5 linked regions of the Sus scrofa genome follow. The protein of the gene in region 4 purifies or fractionates together with the protein of the main gene of each other region. This does not show direct contact. Links are inferred from orthologs where the notes say so. Each region holds a gene or a part of one and is shown on either strand. Other genes may lie near its edges.

Region 1 (4,193 bases), about 90 Mb from region 4:
GAAGCAGTGTATTGGGGTGGAGCTACGGAACCAATCCTAATAATATCCAAAACACACACACGCCCAAATGAACAATGGCTTGATTCCCCACCCCAATATTCAACATTAGGTTAGCTTACAGAATTGAAAATTTTTCACCCAATGACTGATATTTTAAAATGCAAGCTTCTCTTTTTACTAGCTTCCAGGCTTTTAATATTAAACCAAAAACAAAAACACCTTGGTATACTCAGTGATATTCTTTGGTGTCAATTCTCAAGTTCCTCAAGTGTGCAAAAAACAAACTACGAAATTCATAAAATATAATCATTAAACACATATGTAAGGCATGTCTAGAATTGTGCCAGGACCTCTACTCAAAGGCAGAGAACACAGGATCAGGATAAAAATCCTTCCCAGTACAAGAAGGAGACTTTGTTTACAGTTCTTTCCTTTCCCAACCCCAGAACACTGACTGCCAAGTAGTAAGATCTCAAAACAAAATTTTTTTCATTCACCATTTTCACTATATTTATAAGCCAGTGTTTAATGCAAGTTAAGGTTAGAAATGCTGACCTAAGGAAAATGCTGATAGCTAACAATGGAAGTTTTCCCAAGGATAGACCACTGAATGAACACTCAGCCTTGGTTATAAATTTATAGAATAACTTTCTAACTCTGTAATTTAAAACACTAGTTTCCAGGTAAGAGCTTATTTCAAAGATGGACTTTATAATCAAAACATGAGATATTTAGCCATGCTTCATGCTTTCAACAGTCAAAATGGGTGAACACACTTGATTCAATTTTTTCATGTACTCTTCTTTGGATTAGTGTGATGAAGGAGGTAAACTGAGTATAGCTTAATTACATAAGCCAATGTTCCTTAACATAGAAATTAAATGGTTTATTAGATTGTGCTACAGGTAGCTATAAGGCTTAGTTGACTGCATGGATATTTGGCCTGAGCAATGTATACACGCTTTCTAATACTCAAATTTGTGCATCCCTCACCAACCAGTAATTTTAATACAATTAATTCTTTCATTTACCACCTAGGTTCTTCGTCCCAAACCTCATAAAGCTCTCTATATTTTTTAAAAATTCCAAATTAAAACATAACACAATTGTTTGGACTTTTTAGTTGAGTATTATCAAATTCAATTAAGGTAGTAAGAACTCCTTTCAGAAGCACGTGGCACTAAAGAAAATTTTCAACTTTCAACACACAAAGGAAACCTTTAAGATTCTACGCTTAGGTCCTATACACCGATTTGCTATAGGTCATGTACGTACACTTGCTTTTCCCAAAATGTCTGGGTTTAATCCACTGCAAAGGACAAACCAGTACCGAGAATGCATATACCAAATTCAAAACAATCCTGCGAAGTATTTACAGTGACCTGGAAGCAACTGCTAGCCGCCAATGAAATCCTGACCACGCTTCACGCACATGGGGAGAAAAGGTACAGACTCAAAACGGCTCCGCGGCGGCCAACGCTGTGACAGTCTCCGCGTTTCTTTCACCACGAGGCCCAGGCCAGGCCACACACCACATGAAACAGCGCCTGCGGGAAGGGGTCCTACGGGGGGGAAAGGATCATAATCCCAGGACGAGCCTCAGGTGCTATCACCGGTCGTCAGTGGGAATTCCCGCTCCTGTTCAACCCGGAGTGGCCAAATTTCTCTCCCTCCCAACAGCTTAACTCCTTCCAGCCAGTTATTAAGTTTGTAACGATTAAAGGGACGAAGAGGGAAAAATAAAGCCACATGCGGCACCTACAAAGAAAGGCAGCTTTCTCCACGATATCCGATAGGCTCGAGAGGATGGGTAGCTTTGGTGGAAACTCCGACCCCCGGCTTTGCTCAGGGTACCTCGCGCCATCCTGGGACAAGATGGCAGGACAGGAGCCTAAGAGAGACAATCGCACCTCGAAGCAGCAGGCTGCAGGAGAGCTCCGACAGGAAGAAGCCGCCGAGTCCCTGCTGCCCCGCTAACTACAAATGCCCGTGGAAGCAGCTCCCTTCCCCGAGCCCCGGTCCATGCGCCTGCCCGCCCGCCCAGGAATCCGGCGGGAAGACAAGAGCCTCTCAGGATCCCGAGCACGCTCGAGCAGCAGCTCGTCTCCGGACCACGCTCCTCCGCTCAGAGGCTGAGGCGGGAAGGGGGTGGCTCCAGGATCCTTGCAGGCGGCGGTTTGAACTTGGGGCTACCACGCTCCCAGCACCTTCGGAAGACCTGGCTTTGTCGTGTGGGGGAAACGCGAGAAAATCGGCGGCAAAGCCTCCCGTGGACCCTCGGACCCCAGAAGCAAGTGGTAGCTACAAGTCCCCTCAGTCCTTCCCTCCATCCCGGGTCTCCGTGGCTTCCACCACAGCTTTACCTTCTTTCTTAAGCGCCACAGGCGGCTGCGTCTCCTCCTTCTTGTCAACCACGCCAACGTTGGGGGGCAGCGGGTTCTTGCGGTCTTTCTGGGATTCTTTACGCAGCTGTTTGCCCGCCGCGTTGGAGTTGGTCTGCGCTGCGGCCTGAGCTGCGCTCTTGGCCCCAGGGCCCCCAACGCCGCCCCCGCCGGCTTCTTTTTTCTTGTTCTCTGCTGCCTTCAACACCTCGAAGGGGTCCGATTCGTCGTCAAATAACTGGTCGAATCGGTTGGTGACCACGCAGCCGAAGCCTTCCTGTAAGTGCCCAGGCATGATGGTGGCTCGGCGGCGCGTTCCTCCACGGATTGCAGCGGGCCGCGCCGAGCCAAGAGCGCCTGCTTCAGCTCTTCCCACAAGATGGCCGGGCTGCGAGAGGGGGGCCGTCTTCTCTTCCGGCGCCAGGCACACATCCGGTAGCGGCCAGCGCCGCAAGGCACCACGGGGTATGTAGGCAAGAGTCGCTTTTCCCGTGGCGATTCCCAGAGCCAGCACTACGATTCCCAGAGTTCACGGCGCGACAACTCTTCGCGCGCGCCTCAGAGGCGGGACCTCACCGAGGGAGTGGAGCGTGCAAGCTGAGGGAGGAGAAGCGCGGTGGTGGGCGGAGTTCTGCCACCTGCTCTCACCACCCTTAAACTCTCTGGGTCTTGAGCTGCGCTGAAAACAGGAAAACGTGAAGGCGTGTTTTCCTCGCGAAAGTTCTCAGTCTTCGGTTTTACTTCCCGCCTCCGGTCCAGGGCTAACTTTCCCCACCTCTCTAGGAGGGTCAAGGTGGCTACCAGTCTTATAAATGGAAACAAACTTCGAGGGGTTGCAGAGGTGCCGCTCTCTTCCAAGTGCCCCAGCTACTCAGTTGCTGGCGTCTCCCTCCTGCAGCCCCATTAATGAATCGAGACTCTTCTGCTTAATGTGAAGCGGAATACGCTTCCTCTCGCGGGGACTTGAACTCGAGCAGCAGAATTAACCTAAAAGACAAGTTGAAGTATTATATGTGAGTGTTGCGCGCTTGCGACCGGTGCTTTATTTGCTGTTAACTCCCGACAGTGCGGCGCTAGCCAGACCCTGGGCAAACCTCGAAAAGGCGTTGCTTATAGAAGAAACACTTTCTAGAGTCAATCTGATTGTCCGTTAGTGTCCGGAAAGGTACAGATTGGGTGTTTGTAAAATGTGCCAAAGAAGTAACATTTTAGAGCAACCGAATGAATGTGTGGTGTGCTAAAAAGTGCATTGAGGGGAGGAAAATGTCAGCGAATTGACTGTCATTATTAGTTGAAAATATTAAAGTCCTTTGAGATCATAGAGTGTCGATGCATATTCAAGCATATTTGGTAACACTAAGTTTAAATGTGTTGTCATAATTTTTAAACCTTTTTCCAGTAACGCAAAATATAGGGGAAAAAAATGCATCTCTATGTTCAGAGGCTATGAATGACCTTAATGTCAACAACCTGTTAGGTAGGTTTCCCTTTTCACAAATTAAAACCATTTCAGAGGTGAAAAGATTTACCAAGTTTACACTTCTGTAAATGCTAGTGCCAGGAGTTAACCCAGTCTTCTAATTCCACTCTGAGACGCTTGACATCCTTTTTAATCCAAATGCTACCTTTTGATAGAAGCCAGTCAATTATCAGTTCATTTCCAATATTTGATAAAATCTAAATATTGTTGCTTGTCAAGCAGGGTATGTAACATGGCCAAATGCAATCTTATCGATTTCTGAGAGGAATTCAAGTCAATTCCTTAACATGGGAAATAAAAGAGTCATATTACAGTCCTGTGGCAGCAAGCCT
Region 2 (4,092 bases), on a different chromosome or scaffold from region 4:
AGTGAATGCACCAAATTAGGTTGATATCCCCAGCTGTGCTTCACTCAGACGTGGCTACTTAAGCGCACTCCCCAAAAGATCACAAAAGGAAAAGTCCTCCTAAGGGGGGGAGGGGGCTATCTTTAATTTCATTTTGTTCTTTTACGAAATAGTGACACAACCAACCCAGGGCCGACGTGTTTTAAGAGACAGCACTTCCAACTGCCACCTCCATCTCCAGTCCCTTCCCCTGCTCCCCCCTCCCCGCCCCATTTCGGGGAAGGAGCAGCCGGGAACTGACGGAGGAGGAGCCAGAGGCGCCCGGCAACCTACTTGGGCTTTCGCCCTCGGGCCTCACTCTGATTCTCGAGTAAATGCCATTGCGGCGGTTTGCAGAGCCTCGGGCCCTAAAACCCAAGCACCCGCATCCCCAAACACCCGTCTCGTAAACGAACGACCCCAAAGGCCTCGTCAACCAAAGAAGCCAAAGCTAGGCCAGGCGTATAGCCCGGGCCTTCCCTCCCGCCACCCACAAGCCGAGCCCGGCCTACAGGCCAGCCGTTGCCACTCAGGCCGGACTGCGGCCTAGGTTCGTACCTACACAGCCGGCTCAGGCTTCCACAGGAGGCGGTCAGGGGCGCTCAGGCTGCGGCTCAGGGTCTCTCAAAACGTCCACCACGGTCAGCGCGAGGACAGTGTGGCTCGTGCAGCCGGCGCGATTTAAATTTCCCGGTGGCTCCGCATTCCGATTGGCTGGTTCGAGCTTATGCTAGACGTCCATTGGTGGATTTGAAAAACACGTTGGGAGGGGTCAGAGGGCCCAGAAGATACGATAGCATCGCGAGATGAGGGAGCGGCCGGGCGATCCCAGAGCGCCCCGCAGTTCGGAGGCGGCAGCCTTCAGGTCCCGGCGTGCAGCGCGAAGGGCTAGTTTCCAGCCCGCCTTGGCCATAGCCTCGGTCCTTTACCGAGGGTTTACTCGTGTACAGTGGTTGGTCGTTACCCTTGGCGTCTGCCTTAAGAGAACCACAAATGATTCCCCAAATAATTTTTAAAATTTCGATATAGAAATACATTGCTATGTATTTTTTTCTCTGATAGGACTCAGAAGAAAAAGGCCACCAAAGGTTAGCAGGGCCACCAAGGAGGGGATGGATAAAGCAGATTTGTGCTGCACTTTTTAGTTTAGTTTTTTTTTTCTTCTAACTTGCATCATAAAAGACTGCATAGACGGCACAAGTAATGGTAACAAAAGGTTTACTACATCTGTTTCTCCAGTCTTATTTTTTATTTTCAAATACAAAAGAACTATAAATCTTTATGCATATTTGCCAAGTGTTAACATTTGCCACATTTACTATTTCTTTCTCTGTGTAAATACCCACACGTACTAGTAGGCCCATATGCATAGCTTTTACATGATACTTTTCAACCTTTTGAAGGGTAAGTTTGAGAAATCATGTCCCTTTATCCCTAAATATTTTGGGTTGCACCTTGGAAGGATAAGGACATTCTGTTATATAACCACTCCACAATCATCAAATTCAAGACATCTGAACTTCGATGTGATTTATTATATAGTCCATGTTCAAATTTTGTCAGTTGTTCCAGTAATGACTTATGCTACAATTTATACATTTCTGAATAAAATGCTTGCATTTTCTTGTAATTTTTAAAAAAGCATCAGTGATGGTTCTCGTAATGTCAGTGTTATAGGCCACTTTGTTTTCATAATTTTTCCGTATTCTGAAAAGGGTATTTTTAAGAAAAGCTGTATTGGTTTTGTTGTTTGTGTGTTTTTTACTATAAATTCAAACAATGGTCTTCGTCTCTTCTTGCAGGCATTTTTGCCAGCTTCATGCACTGTGTAGCAGCCAAGGGAATCACAGGAGGTTGTCTCCTCTCACCTACCCAATCAGTATAATCCTATCTGCCCAAATGCGAAAACGTGGAAGGAATTCACCTGTAAACCAGTCACTGCAAGGCATTCCCTTTGCTACAATGAATGGCTCAGGGGCAGTCATCTGACCTAATTTCATCCAGTTGTGAAGCCTATGCTTTTTGTTTAATGATTGGAGGTGGGAAAGCAGGCTCTGTTCCGAACTGAGTGATGTGAGTTCTAGAAATTTGAGTTAAGACAATTGTAGAGAAACCATGAAAGCTTTGATCACCATCCTGACCTACCTCAGAAGGCTGCAATTATATCATCCTTTGTGATAATTATATCATCACTTCCTTTGTTGTTTAAGTTAGTGTAATTGGGCTTTCTTTTGCATGAAAATATCGGTATTACGTGCCTAGAAGTGTTTGGTATTACCGATATGAAAATTCATCTTCACAATTCTGTGAGGTAGTATTACTATCTGTTCCATTTCACAGAAGAGAAGAGCGGGTGGTTAAGTAACTTGTCAGGTTCACACAGGAACAAATGGCATTCAAACCTAGACGGGCAAATTTGAAGAAAATTTTGTTCACCCTGCAACGACCTAACAGTTGCCTTCCTTAATGGGTTATCCAATTAATGTACGTTGACTAAATGCAAGAATGAAAAAGAAGTAGTTTGATAAAGAAGGAAAGGTTGAGGGGGATGCAGGAGAACCTTCCGGCAGAGGAAGGGGCCTGAACTCTGTAAAATGCAGAGGCCTGGGCCTACCCAGGTGAATAGAATTAGAACGGGGTGGGATGGAGGACAGGCTTCGGAATTTTCTTTACAATTCCCCAAGTGCGCTTAATATCTAGTATGCAGCCAGTGCTGAGACCTTTACCGTAAGAACCCAACAGGTAGGAGGCCACTCACTGCGGCGCAGAGAATCCCGCAGGCAGGCCACGCACCATCGGGGAAGGCGGGTGGGGAGGACAACGCGCATGCGCGGGGAGGCTAGGTTGGTGGGCGGGGCTGAGGGCGGGCGGGGCCGAGAGCGCAGGCGCATTTTGCCGTCGCTGGGGGCGGCTCCCAAATCCCACGCCGCCCGACGTGAGGCCGCCAAGCTCGGGGGCGGGGCGCGATGATGGCATCGCGTAAGGAGATGGTGTGAGAACGCGGATCCTGTGGTGACCCAGTGGCCTAATGGATAAGGCATCAGCCTCCGGAGCTGGGGATTGTGGGTTCGAGTCCCATCTGGGTCGTACACAGACTAATTTTGGTGCAAGGGGAAAAAAGTGATTACAGGCACTTAGAACTCAAAGTAGATTTTGAAATGTCATTATTTCGCTTTCTCTACAGAGCTATGAGGTCTGTTGTACTTACAAATTAGGAAATGCATCTCCGTGTTTTAACAGCACTGCAAGTGAGAACTTGCAAGTGAAAGTCACAATCTCACCTACAGAATCATTTAGTTTATACGGGTCTTTAAAGGAAAAAGGTTGAGGAAAAGGAACCGCCAATTTGACAGATGGCATCACCTCTTTCTCTGCCTTTTTAAATTGAGTTTATATGTATTTTGCTGTACACCTGAAATTACTACAACGTTTACGTCAACTATACTCCAATAAAATTAAAAATAAATGAATAAACTGAGTTTTCCATGGGCAGCCACACAGACAAAACTTCCTCCCCATCCTTATCCCATCCTGCTCACAGTGTGAGCAGATCCAACTGTGTTGACTCCAGACTTATTTCCAGTACTAAGGAGAATGTATAAGCAACTGTGTTTTTAACTGTATTAAAACATACAAATATAATAAATATAATTTATGGTTTCTGTCCCTAAAGTATTATGAACAACAAATTACAGCTGGATCATAAGGTTTGTGTGTGTGTATTTGATTTGCAATAAAAGAAATACAATCGAGTTTTTACGCTTTTCAGACTGGTTCAGTTGACTAGAAAAGTTTAAACTCTTCTTGTAAAACTTGTATAAGACGAATATCACTGAGTTAACTCCTACTCTTGAAAAACAGCAAAATACTAAATGCAGTGTCATACCTGGATTTGAGCTTGGATGTTCATGGAAAAAAAAAAAAAAAAAAAAAGCGGACTCTGAATACATTCTCTAGTTAGTGACCAGCAGTCTACCAATGTTGATTTCTTCCTCGTGACAAATGTACATGGTTACGTAAGATGTTAACATTAAAAGAAAGTGAATGAAGGGTACATGGGAGCCCTCAGTTCTA
Region 3 (3,512 bases), about 11 Mb from region 4:
CACTGAGTGAGGCCAGGGACCAAACCTGCATCCTTACAGACACTGCGTCAGGTTTCTAACCCTCTGAGCCACAATGGGAACTCCCACCACCCTGGTTTATAATATGAACCACATGTGAATAACATAGTGGCATGGATCCTGGAGCAGACGTCTTAGATCTATTCAAACTATGGCTCTACCTCAATTTCTTTGCTGGCAAAAATGAGAATAACTACAGTAAAAGCTCAGAGGGTATATTATTACTTAAGGAGGACTGTCTTATATACAGTGCTTTGAATAGTGCCTCTTATAAAGTTAGACCTCAATACATATTAGCTATCTTAACTGTTGCTGAAATAGACAATATAATAAAAATTAACTCCTCGGCCATTTCTTTATTAATTCCAACTTACGCTCTAAAGAGAAAAACCTGGGTGAGAACATTATACAGTTATTTAAGGTATCTAGATAAATAAACTACATGAGTATTCAATTGAGAAAATTCAAAAAACAAAAACAAGGAGAGGCAAAATCCAAGGCTAGTTATGTGCGTGAAATTTGCCCATACTCCAAGACAGATTTACTATGTTACCTGAACGATAGCTGGGTCCTGAGGCAAAGAACATTGTGGTTTTGGTGGCTCACAAACAGTTAGGTCTTTAATATCACTCCCACGGAATATAATGTATTCAAAGACTTCATCTCGAGGTGGTATTGGACGATCTGTTGGTCTGTCTTCTGTACCAAAGGACCGAACTGGTGAGAAAACAGAGGATATGAGGTAGTTTCTATTCATTGCATTCAGGTAGTGCTCTTACAAATGCACTATTTCAAGTATTAAGCAGCAGTTCTTAAATGTCATCCATGAGAAAATATTTATTAATTTGCAGCTAAATAGTTTTAAAAAGTCACAGCTGTGGCTCAGATTCAATCCCTGGCCTGGGAACTTTCAAATGCCATGGGTATGGCCATAAAATTTTGTAAAAAAGGACTATCTATGTTACATGGTTGTGTTCTTCCTACATTTTTATTTACTTAAATCTTTGGTGGTTGTGGTAAGAGGAAATATTAAAAATATTCGTTGATTTATTTTTAATGTCCTTATTTGGCAAAACAAAAAACCGGCAACCTGTGTAATATTTTTGGGGCGGGGGGCAGGGAGTGAGTGAAGATTTCCAATCTACAAAAAGTGCCAAATTCGAGAAACTGAACTTCGAGCTTAAGATGAGACAACAGAAAGAACATCTCTCTTGGTGAGTTTGTCCTCTAGAAGCTAAGGAAAGCAGCTATCACCTATTCAGCCCATTGGACAGCCTGAAATGCTCTAGTTAACTAAAATACCTATCTCATATTAAATCTGATTATTTTAACACTTAAGATAGCATTACTTAAGGAGTTCCTACTGTGGTGCAGTGGGTTAAGAATCCAAATGCCAGGGCTCAGGTCACTGCAGAGGCAGGGGTTTGATACCGGGCCTGGCTCAGTGGGTTAAAGGATCTAGCATTGCTGTAGCTGCAACCTAGTTCGCGGCTGTGGCTGGGATTCACTCTGGCCCAGGAACTTCCATGTTCTGCATGTGTGGCTGTAAAATAATAAAAAATAAAAAAGATAGCAGTATTCAAAGCTGAACTGTGGACCACCTGCATTAGGGTGAGCTAGCTAATAAGATTTCTGGGATCCTCTTAAAAAACCTACTGACTCAGACTTTCTGGGAAAAGGGTGCAGATATCTGCATTTTAAACCAATTCCTTAAGAGAGTCTTTTTTTTTGGCTGCGCTTGCAGCATACAGAAGTTTCTGGGCCAAGGACTGAACCCGAGCCATAGCAGCAACGACACCAGATCCTTAGCCCACTGAGTCACCAGTGAACTCCAAGAGAGTCTTATGAATTCTTTTTTTTTTTTTTTTTTGGTCTTTTTGTCTTTTCTAGGGCTGCACCTGCGGCATATGGAGGTTCCTAGGCTAGAGGTCCAAGTGGAGCTGTAGCTGCCAGCCTACACCAGAGCCAGAGCAACAAGGGATCCAAGCTGCATCTGTGACCTAGACTACAGCTCACAGCAACGCCAGATCCTTAACCCACTGAGTGAGGCCAGGGATTGAACTCGCAACCTTATGGTTCCTAGTAGGATTTGTTAACCACTGCGCCACGACAGGAACTCTGAGAATCTTATGAATTCTTAAAAGACTTCTAAAAATGTGAACATCTCCACAGAAGCTCCAAATAGGAAAGTTTGCAGTATCAGATAGTATCCATTTAAAGAGTATCCTAGAGGAAGTAAGCCCCTTAACACTGTGCAAAGTTTCAAATTTCAGTTTCAATGATGCCTTTAAAAAAAAAAAACCTGGAGTTCCCGTTGTGGCGTGGTGGTTAACGAATCCGACTAGGAACCATGAGGTTGCGGGTTCGGTCCCTGCCCTTGCTCGGTGGGTTAATGATCCGGCGTTGCCGTGAGCTACGGTGTAGGTTGCAGACGCGGCTTGGATCCCAAGTTGCTGTGGCTCTGGCGGAGGCTGGCGGCTGCAGCTCCGATTCGACCCCTAGCCTGGGAACCTCCATATGCCGCGGGAGCGACCCAAAGAAATAGAAAAAAGACCAAAAAAAATTTAAAAAAATCCTAAAAATTATTTCCAGTGCTTATAAGACTTTTAGAAAAGATGGTGACCTAGGTGTAGGTTTGCAGAACATTCCTCCCTAAAACTAAAGAAGATTAAAGTTAAGATAACCTTAAACTAGGAAAATGCCTCAAGCCCATACCATAAAGCTTTAATAAAAAATATCATTCAGATACTCAATGAGTTAGTCTAAACTGGAAGACCAATTCCAGAATCCATATGTAGCATGCTGAGAAATTTTCCCAGGCACCCTCCAACTTGGTGGATGGGGACAGGAACACAGACATGATAAAGGAAAAGATGTAGAATGCCCTAGCTGAGGTTCCTCTTTCTCTGATGGCCAAACTATACTTTATCACGGAATGAGTGATAAAGTGACAAGGTCCTACATTTTGTCCTTTAACCAAAAAGAAGGCTAGAAAGAATTACAAAAAGCTAGACTAAGAAAATTACAAATAAATCAGTTTCGCTCCTAACCTTACCACCGTCACTACTACCACCATACAATGTTTTACAAAATCTCAAACATCCAAAGTAAGAGATTATCTCATCCTGAAGCTGTGGGTGGGTGAGAAGCTTCATGAGACTTTCCAAGGCATAACAAAACCATGCAGACTACACCCATGTACTCAAAAGACAGATTAAAAATCCACCGAGAGGAATGCCTGTCGTGGCACAGAGGAAAGGAATCTGACTAGGAACCATGAGGTTGTGGGTTCGATCCCTGGCCTTGCTCAGTGGGTTAAGGATCTTGGTGTTGCCGAGAGCTGTGGTGGAGGTTGCAGACATGGCTCAGATCTGGCATGGCGTGGCTGTGGCTGTGGTGTAGGCGAGCAACTACAGCTCTGATTGGACCTCTAGCCTAGGAACCTCCATAGGCCACAGGTGCAGCCCTCAAAAGACAGAAAAAAAAAAAAAAAA
Region 4 (3,512 bases):
CTCTCTGCAGGACCTTGCTGTTTATCCAGCCTGTATATAATCGTTTGGTCATGTTGTTTATTTATTTATTTGGCTGCACCAGAGGTATGAGGAAGTTCCCGGGCCAGGCATCAAACCTGAGCCACAGCAGTTGCCAATCCTGGATCCTTAACCCCCTGTGCCAGCAGGGAACTCCAACGTCATGGTTTTCAAATGGCCTTAGAGGTACAAACAGCAGGTATTATTACAAAGTTGGAACCTGCTTCAAATGGAGGTATTTAAAACTAATGTGATGGGTCCTTGAGGCTTTCTTACACCAGCCTCTTGGGAAAAAAAAAAAGTCCCTTCAGTTTCTAGAATGCCAAGAGACTTCGTGTCTGGAAAACCCACCATCTTCCCAACCTTTTCACATTACTCTTTCTGGCCACACCCATACCATGGGGCCAGGGATTGAACCTGCACTATAGCAGTGACCCAAGCCACTACAGTGGCAATGCCAGATCCTTAACCTGCTGAGCCACCAGGGAACTCCTTCCTCATTTTTTTTTTTCCTTCTTATGACCCCACCTACAGCATATGGAAGCTCCCAGGCTAGGGGTTGAGTTAGAGCTACAGCTGCCAGCCAAGGCCACGACCACAGCAACACCAGATCTGAGCCACATCTGTGACCTATGCCGCAGCTTTTGGCAAAGCTAGATCCTTAACCTGTTAAGCAAGGACAAGGATTGAACCTGCATCCTCAGACACTATGTCAGGTTCTTAACCCGCTGAGCTACAAGGGGAATCCCTCCTTCCTCATTTTTGACCCATGCAATCCTACTCTCAAAAAGTGACCTCACAGCTATACCAGTTCGTCTATCAGATGGCAATGACAGTACATGCGGAGGGATGAAAGTCTCAGAAGCAGCTTAAATGCTCATCACTAGGAATCTGGTTAGGAAAGCTGCTGTAGGGAGCTCCCCCTGTGGCACAGTGGATTAAGGATCTGACTGTAGCGGTTCTGGTCCCTGCAGAAGTGCAGGTTCGATCCCTGGCCTTGCTCAGCGGGTTAAGGACCCAGCGTAGCTGTGAGCTGTGATGTAGGCTGCAGACACAGCTTGGATCTGGCATTGCTGTGGCTGTGGCGTAGGCCGGCAGCTGTAGCTCGGACTGGACCCCTAGCCTGGAAACCTCCATACACCATGGGTGTGGCCCTAAAAAGAGGGGGAAAAAAAAAAAAAGAAAAAAAAAAGACAACCAACTGCTCAGCACAGGCAACTAAACTCCATGTTTTCTAATAACCTATAAGGAAAATAACTCTGACGAAGGTGTATACATCTATTTTTGCTGTTGGAGTTCCTGCTGTGGCGCAACAGGATCAGTGGTGTCTGGAGCACCAGGACACAGGTTCGATCCTCGCTGGGCACAGTGGGTTAGGGATCTAGTGTGGGGCAGCCAACAAAAGACAAAAGAAAAACATCCAACTTCGCTGTCTACCTAAAACTAACACGACACTGTAAATCAACTATACTTCAGCAAAAATAAAATAAAAAAAAAAAAGGGCAAAAAAACTTGAGTTTATCTGTGTCAAAAATACACACCTGATAAAAAATAAAAAATTATGCAGTGAATGTAGAAACACAAGTCCACCTGCTCATAGAGGCAGACGGCTCTGGAAGGACGTGTTGGCGGAAGCCCGAGAAGGACAACTGCGAGGCAGACGGGAAGCTTCTCACCCCGGGCCCTCAGGGGTCAACCAAGGAATTCTACCACTCAGTGAAAAAACTACAGACTGTTTTTCTTTTAAAAGAAATTATTACTAAATTTTTTTGGCCTGCAACGTGCAGCAACTTGATGTTGGACCTCAGCTCCCAGACCAGGGATCCAACCTGGGCCACGGCAGTGAAAGCACCAAATCCTAATCCCTGGACCACCAGGTAACTCCCTAAAGATTGCTTCTTGCTCTGCCTTTAAAAAAAAAAAAAAAAAAAAAACCACCAAAAATCGAGGCACTAAGCTGGCGACTTTGACAGCTCATTTCTGAGTAGGCAGAATTCTCGGGCTGTCCGCGGCCCAGAGCCCATGGGGGAGGAAGGCAGGAATTCAAGTTCAGTGGCCCCTGTCGCCTTGCCAAGGACCCCAGGGAAGCGGGGATGGTCCACTCCCTCCCCCCACGCCCGTTCTCTTGCTGGGCTCACCGTGGTCTAACTTGTTGGCTTTGACGATCTTCACCGCATAATCAGAGATACTGGAACACTCGATCTGGGGGCCCAGGAAGAAGGGAGGGTGAGAGACCCCCCCAGTGCCACCCTCAGCCCCCACCCCCTCCCAATCCCTGAGCTCCACAAGGTCCCCTTGGCGTCCCTGGGCCCGCCCAGCCACCCAGGACACTCACCCCGATGACCTTGCGGGCACCGGCCTTGGCAGCGAACATGCAGAGGATCCCTGTGCCCGAGCCCACGTCCAGCACCACCTTGTCCTTGAAAAGGTGCCGGTTGTGAAACATGGAGTTTCGGTAGGTGAGGGTGCGCACCTCATCTTTCAGCATTTCCTGGGAAGGGGGGAGCACAAAGACACCTTGAGGGAGCCTGCATCCCCAGCTGGAAAACAGGGTGCCCCGGCCTCCAACACGCGCACCGTTTGAAGCACTGGAGCTTGGCTCTCGCACTTGCTTCCTCGACTCCCTTGAACAAGTCACTTCCCTTCCACGTGCTTCCATCTCCCTATTTGTAAAATCAGACTGGATGGACTGAACTCCCACCTTTTTTTTTTTTTTTTTTTGCTTTTTAGGGCCGTACCCGAGGCACACAGAGGTTCCCAGGCTAGGGGTCGAATGAGTGCTACAGCTGCCAATCTATGCCACAGCCACGGGGGATCGGAGCTGCGTCTGCGACCTACACCACAGCTCACAACGACGCCGGATTCCCGACCCAATGATCGAGGCCAGGGATCGAACCCGCATCCTCATGTATACTAGTCACATTCATTTCCACTGCACCACGATGGGAACTCCTGAACTCCCATCTTTACAGATGGACCACTGCCCTGAGTCCCTGCTGTCCTTGGCTTTAAAAAGTCCTCAGTAACTTAATGCCACTGAGCTGTATACGTGAAAATGGCAAACTGTTATGCACTTTTTTTTAATCACAATAAGAAAAGAAAAACACATCCCGGTCCTAGGTGATTTCTGGGACCTCAGCCTCCACCGCAGGCAAAAAAACGTCTAGAGGCAGCCCGCACTCTGAGTCCGAGGAGCTGGCGGACAGTCCCACCACCGGCCACTAGGGGGCGGCAGAGACCAGCAGGCCCCGACCTCGGGCTGAAGTCCCCAGCGCACATGCGCACTCCCACCCGCGCCCCTGAGCTGGCCCGGCTGGCGCAGTGCCAGCCTCGCCTCAGTCTCCAAGGCAACAGCTGGGAGCGTCGACCCCCAGGGTGTGAGTAGCCAGCGGAGGGACTGCCCGCTCCCTTCCCCGGCAGCACGCATGCCTTAGAAATTAAGTCCCCCCCCCCCCACCAAACACGAACCCCGTGAAGATTCAGGGGCCCTAGGA
Region 5 (4,253 bases), on a different chromosome or scaffold from region 4:
TCACTGCACCCGAGCAGCTGCTCAGTGGTCCCCAAGCCCCACCTCCCTCTTGGGACCACCCTTGTCCCCTTGGCAAAGCCAGAGACCCTTTCGTCTGTCCCCAAACTAAATTAACTCTTGACCTGAATATAACAACCACTTTCACTTCACCAAACACCCTGGGAAGGAACGAACACGGCAAAAGCGGCAAAAGATGTCTCCTTGCGTTGTGTTGTCTGTGGTGACAGCAGTGGCGAATGACAGAGAGAAGTGAGTGGCAAAAAGCATTACCTCCAGCACTGACTTTAAAACATTTGGACAAAAGCAAATACGGAAACATGTCATTTCCGGTTTGACCTGCTAGATGGGAGAGTGGTTTTATAACATTCCATTCTTTTGTTGGCTTGAGAATAAAGGTCTTCGAATAAAAGATCTTAACACATCTCTCAGTCCCACGTGTTTCACAGTGACTCTCACCTGGACAGGAAGCTGTGCTCTTTTTTCTCACCAAACCTTTGACAGACGTCTCGTGTACAAACATGGGCCCAAACTGACTAGCCTTTCCCCATTAACTTTCTTGGGGAAAGGAAATCAAACGCTGGGGATGCTATGCAGGTATCTCTAAGGACCTGCCAAGGCCAGCAAGCAGTCAAAACTCGAGGGCGGGCAGGGGCACTCACAGTCCGGGCAGCAGCCATTGAAGGCCATCCGGCAGATACCGCAGTTCTCGTCGTTGGCCACCCAGAGCCACGTGGCCACGCCGTTCCAGCACTTGATCTTCACCTTCATGGCGCGGGAGCCTGCGGGAGGGAAGAGACCCCCGGGGTTCCGGTGAGGCTGCTGAGCTACAGCACTTGGGAGCCAAAGAAGAGGTTCCGCCCCGAGCCCTCTAGAGGGTCGGGGAGGGCAGGAGTCGCCTCCGGCAGGGCAGCACAAACTGTCAGCGAGGCGGCTGGGGCAAGGGCCGGGTCCCCGGGAGGACCGGGCGCTCAGCGCATCTCCCAACGCCGCGCTTCTGCCCGGGCGTCCACGGAAGGGGGCGTCGGCTTCCGTTAACCACTGCAAAATCCTGCCGTGTGTACGTCTGAAAGGGACATGACTGTCGAGGTCAGGAGGAGAGCCAAACCCCTCCCTGCAAGACACCCGCGGAAACAAGCCCCCGGCCTGCGCGGCCGCTCCCCCCGCCTCCGCGGACCCGAGCGCGGGTTCGGGGCGGGGGGAGGGGCAGGACCCGGTTAGGACGTGCAAGGAGGGGCAAGGGAGGGGCGGAAGCCCGGCCCCGCCCAACGGCCGCACCCCCACTAACCAAATCACGCGCTGCCCCACCCGCCTTCCGTTGGCGGCGCCGGCGCCCGCGCGGGAAGGTATATAAACGACCGCGGCTGCGGACAGGCACTTCTCAGCGGCGCCCGCCGAAGCCCGGGGTCCAGCGCGCACGCCCCGCCCCGCCCCCCGACGCCGCCGCCGCCTCGCAGCCAATCCGCGGCCGCTCCGAGGACGCAGGCCCGGAAAAGGCCGCGCGGCGCAGGAAGTGACGCGCCGGCGTGCTGACGCGCGGGCTCCAGCCGAGGCCGATTCCGCGCCCGCCATGGCCGACAAAATGGATATGTCTCTGGACGACATCATTAAGCTGAACCGGAGCCAGCGAGGCGGCCGCGGCGGGGGCAGGGGCCGCGGCCGGGCCGGCTCCCAGGGCGGCCGCGGCGGCGGGGCGCAGGCTGCCGCGCGAGTGAGCCGAGGCGGCGGACCCATTCGGAACCGGCCGGCCATCGCCCGCGGCGCGGCGGGCGGCGGCAGGAACCGGCCGGCGCCCTACAGCAGGGTGAGTGCGGAGGCCGGCTGGCGGGCCGCGGCCGGGGGGCGGGCAGGCAGCGCGACGCGGGAGCAGCGGGCGGGCCGGGCCGGGGGGGTGGGGGCGCGGGCGCCGGCCGGGCGGACGGGGGAGGTCGCGCGCCAGCCGGGCCCCGAAGCGAGACCCCACCGGCCTTTGTTTGGGCTGGACGCCGGGCCTCGTGGCGCCGGGGGCCGAGGAGACGTTGGCGCGGCCGCCCTGGCGGCGGGAAGTTAGTTGGAGGGAACCGAGAAGTTGCGGGAAGTGCGGCCCCGCGGGCGGGAAGCGGGGGCTGCGGGCCCCTCTCGGTGCCTTCCTCCCGGGCCGCGATGGGGGAAGGTCTTGTGGCCGTGGGGGCGAGGGCGAGTCCTGGAGCGCGACTTATGGGTCTTTTTCTGTCGCGTTTTCTTTTTCTTTAGCCGAAACAGCTTCCTGACAAATGGCAACACGACCTTTTCGACAGCGGTTTTGGGGGTGGTGCCGGCGTGGAGACCGGTGGGAAACTGTTGGTGTCAAATCTGGATTTTGGCGTGTCCGACGCTGATATTCAGGTAAGAGACTGGAGCTTCTCCTCGGGAGCAGCTCACCCTGTACAGCACTGACTGTGGTGTTTGGGACGGGCCGGGACCCTGAATCCGCACCCACCTTGGGACAGTGAGCCCCTCCCAGGCCCTCGAGGGCTGGCCACCACTGCTCCCTGGAAGGGGCTGCTGGAGTGCATAGCAAAGGCCAAGCTAGAGCTGAAAGTCCAACTGCTGGTTCAGTTTGCGCTGGAAGACAGGCCCGGGTCGGGCCGGGCCGAGGCACCGCGGCTTTGGTAGCTAAGCATCCGCCGTGGGGGTGAGGAGCCTCTGCCTGCCCTTTTCTGGCAAGTGTGGCTGAACGCGTGTGGTTCTGCGTCCCTGAAAGAGCGCGGCTGTCTGCGGCTTTATTTCGTGCCCGTTTTAGTGATGCTTTGGGAGGAGAAAGCCCTTTCTCTGCAGGGCTGACAAAGTGCAGAAGCAGAGTGCTACAGGCATCTCTGGTCCCCTCTGCCTTAAGCCCCGTGGAACTGGGTCCCGGTCTTTCTCTCACCTATGCTCACGCTCTGGGTCTCGTTAGCGGCGCAAGTGTTTATTTAGTCTCGTCTTCGACTCAAGCCTCTTTTCTTTTCCGTTTCTTTTTCTCTTTTTTAAATCCACTCTCCAAGGCACTTGAACTGGTTTTCTCGTGAAGTAATGCCGTTTTGGGGGTCAGTCCTGCAGATGGCTGGGTCCGGGTGAGGGGCCTTCCTGGGTTCGGTCTCCCAGAGCCCAGCCGTTTTACTTAGCCGTGGGGGGACAGAGCAAGGCCAGTGAGCGCTCACAGTGTCTCCACACTTTTTTTAAGGTGGTTTCTGGCATCCACTGGAAACCGCTTTTGGTGAACTCCACTTCCCGCTGTGTGCCTGCGGCCGGAGTAGCCCCACACTCTGGGTTCCCTCTCCAACTCCCAGCCTGCCTGAGGTCAGGGCAGTTTCCATGGCAGCGCTTGACTTCAGACTTTGCGGCAGGCTTGAGTAGGAGGAGAGGGAAAGGTGAGCCCGAATCTGCCCGGGGGAGGGGCTGGGTCAGGGCTCCCGAGTCAGCGGGCCCTTCGAGCTGATCCACCTTGGCTTAGAGCCCCTCGCTCTGTGATCTTGGCCTTTGCAGCTTCTCGGCGCAGTCCTCGGGCGTGTCGTAGGTCTTCCTCTGTAGAAGGCGAGGGCCACTTAATCTCGCGCCCTTCCCCGCGGGCTTTGTGATGCTTTACCTGCACTGTGGTACCTGTGTCAGGTCCCCCGACTGGCAGGAGCCCTCAGGCCCAACGGCTCCTGCCTGGAAGTTGCTGTCCCCCTGCCCCATCCCATCCCCCAGTTCCCGCTACCACTGCCCTGCCCCCCCCACACGTGACGTCTGCCTCCCAGGTAGATACCCCAAAGCAGTGCACACTTCCAGGGAGTGTCCCTGGGCTGCCAGGAAGAAAAGGGCTTCGCTGACGAGTGCTCTTTCGGACTCACAGGAACTCTTTGCTGAGTTTGGAACTCTGAAGAAGGCGGCTGTGCACTATGACCGATCGGGCCGCAGTTTGGGGACCGCTGATGTGCACTTTGAGCGGAAAGCAGACGCCCTGAAAGCTATGAAGCAGTACAACGGCGTACCCCTGGACGGTGCGTACCCCTGGACGGTGCGTGGCCCTGGACGGTGCGTCGGGAGCCGCGCCCAGAAAGGCCTCGGGCGCCAGGAGTGGGGCCGCCTGTGCCTGAGGACACTTGGCCGTCGCCCCTTTTTCTCCCTCTTCCCGTTCTGCCGTCTCACGCTCCCCCGCGCACCTGGACCAGCCTCTCGTGAACCCCCTCCAGCAAGCAAGCCCCAGTCCTCCCCTCCTGCAGCTCCTTGCAGGAGACTCCCTTCTGCGAAGGCCCTTCAGAACCGCCGTAGTCCGC

Evidence for each region.
Region 1: the proteins of PRMT1 (region 4) and SERBP1 purify together in Homo sapiens (affinity purification with mass spectrometry; 3 studies listed by BioGRID and IntAct, with this or other methods). This does not show direct contact. The link is inferred for Sus scrofa from reciprocal best matches to the Homo sapiens genes PRMT1 and SERBP1.
Region 2: the proteins of PRMT1 (region 4) and KPNA2 fractionate together in Homo sapiens (co-fractionation; 3 studies listed by BioGRID, with this or other methods). This does not show direct contact. The link is inferred for Sus scrofa from reciprocal best matches to the Homo sapiens genes PRMT1 and KPNA2.
Region 3: the proteins of PRMT1 (region 4) and LSM14A purify together in Homo sapiens (affinity purification with mass spectrometry; 3 studies listed by BioGRID and IntAct, with this or other methods). This does not show direct contact. The link is inferred for Sus scrofa from reciprocal best matches to the Homo sapiens genes PRMT1 and LSM14A.
Region 5: the proteins of PRMT1 (region 4) and ALYREF purify together in Homo sapiens (affinity purification with mass spectrometry; 3 studies listed by BioGRID and IntAct, with this or other methods). This does not show direct contact. The link is inferred for Sus scrofa from reciprocal best matches to the Homo sapiens genes PRMT1 and ALYREF.

Annotation. Positions count from the first base shown.
Region 1 is NC_010448.4:145,185,316-145,189,508, reverse strand, and holds the start of SERBP1 (plasminogen activator inhibitor 1 RNA-binding protein), read right to left. Parts: upstream 2,805-4,193; 5' UTR 2,677-2,804; coding exon 2,364-2,676; intron 1-2,363. UniProt on the Homo sapiens protein: Ribosome-binding protein that promotes ribosome hibernation, a process during which ribosomes are stabilized in an inactive state and preserved from proteasomal degradation.
Region 2 is NC_010454.4:14,281,810-14,285,901, reverse strand, and holds the start of KPNA2 (importin subunit alpha-1), read right to left. Parts: upstream 2,811-4,092; 5' UTR 2,777-2,810; intron 996-2,776; 5' UTR 577-995; intron 1-576.
Region 3 is NC_010448.4:43,864,880-43,868,391, reverse strand, and holds part of LSM14A (protein LSM14 homolog A), read right to left. Parts: intron 736-3,512; coding exon 572-735; intron 1-571. UniProt on the Homo sapiens protein: Essential for formation of P-bodies, cytoplasmic structures that provide storage sites for translationally inactive mRNAs and protect them from degradation. Acts as a repressor of mRNA translation. May play a role in mitotic spindle assembly.
Region 4 is NC_010448.4:54,721,891-54,725,402, reverse strand, and holds part of PRMT1 (protein arginine N-methyltransferase 1), read right to left. Parts: intron 2,510-3,512; coding exon 2,354-2,509; intron 2,221-2,353; coding exon 2,157-2,220; intron 1-2,156. UniProt on the Homo sapiens protein: Arginine methyltransferase that methylates (mono and asymmetric dimethylation) the guanidino nitrogens of arginyl residues present in proteins such as ESR1, histone H2, H3 and H4, FMR1, ILF3, HNRNPA1, HNRNPD, NFATC2IP, SUPT5H, TAF15, EWS, HABP4, SERBP1, RBM15, FOXO1, CHTOP, MAP3K5/ASK1, MICU1 and NPRL2.
Region 5 is NC_010454.4:1,097,795-1,102,047, forward strand, and holds the start of ALYREF (THO complex subunit 4), read left to right. Parts: upstream 1-1,444; 5' UTR 1,445-1,567; coding exon 1,568-1,801; intron 1,802-2,229; coding exon 2,230-2,361; intron 2,362-3,829; coding exon 3,830-3,977; intron 3,978-4,253. Other genes in the region: ANAPC11 (anaphase-promoting complex subunit 11), read right to left, coding at 660-768. UniProt on the Homo sapiens protein: Functions as an mRNA export adapter; component of the transcription/export (TREX) complex which is thought to couple mRNA transcription, processing and nuclear export, and specifically associates with spliced mRNA and not with unspliced pre-mRNA.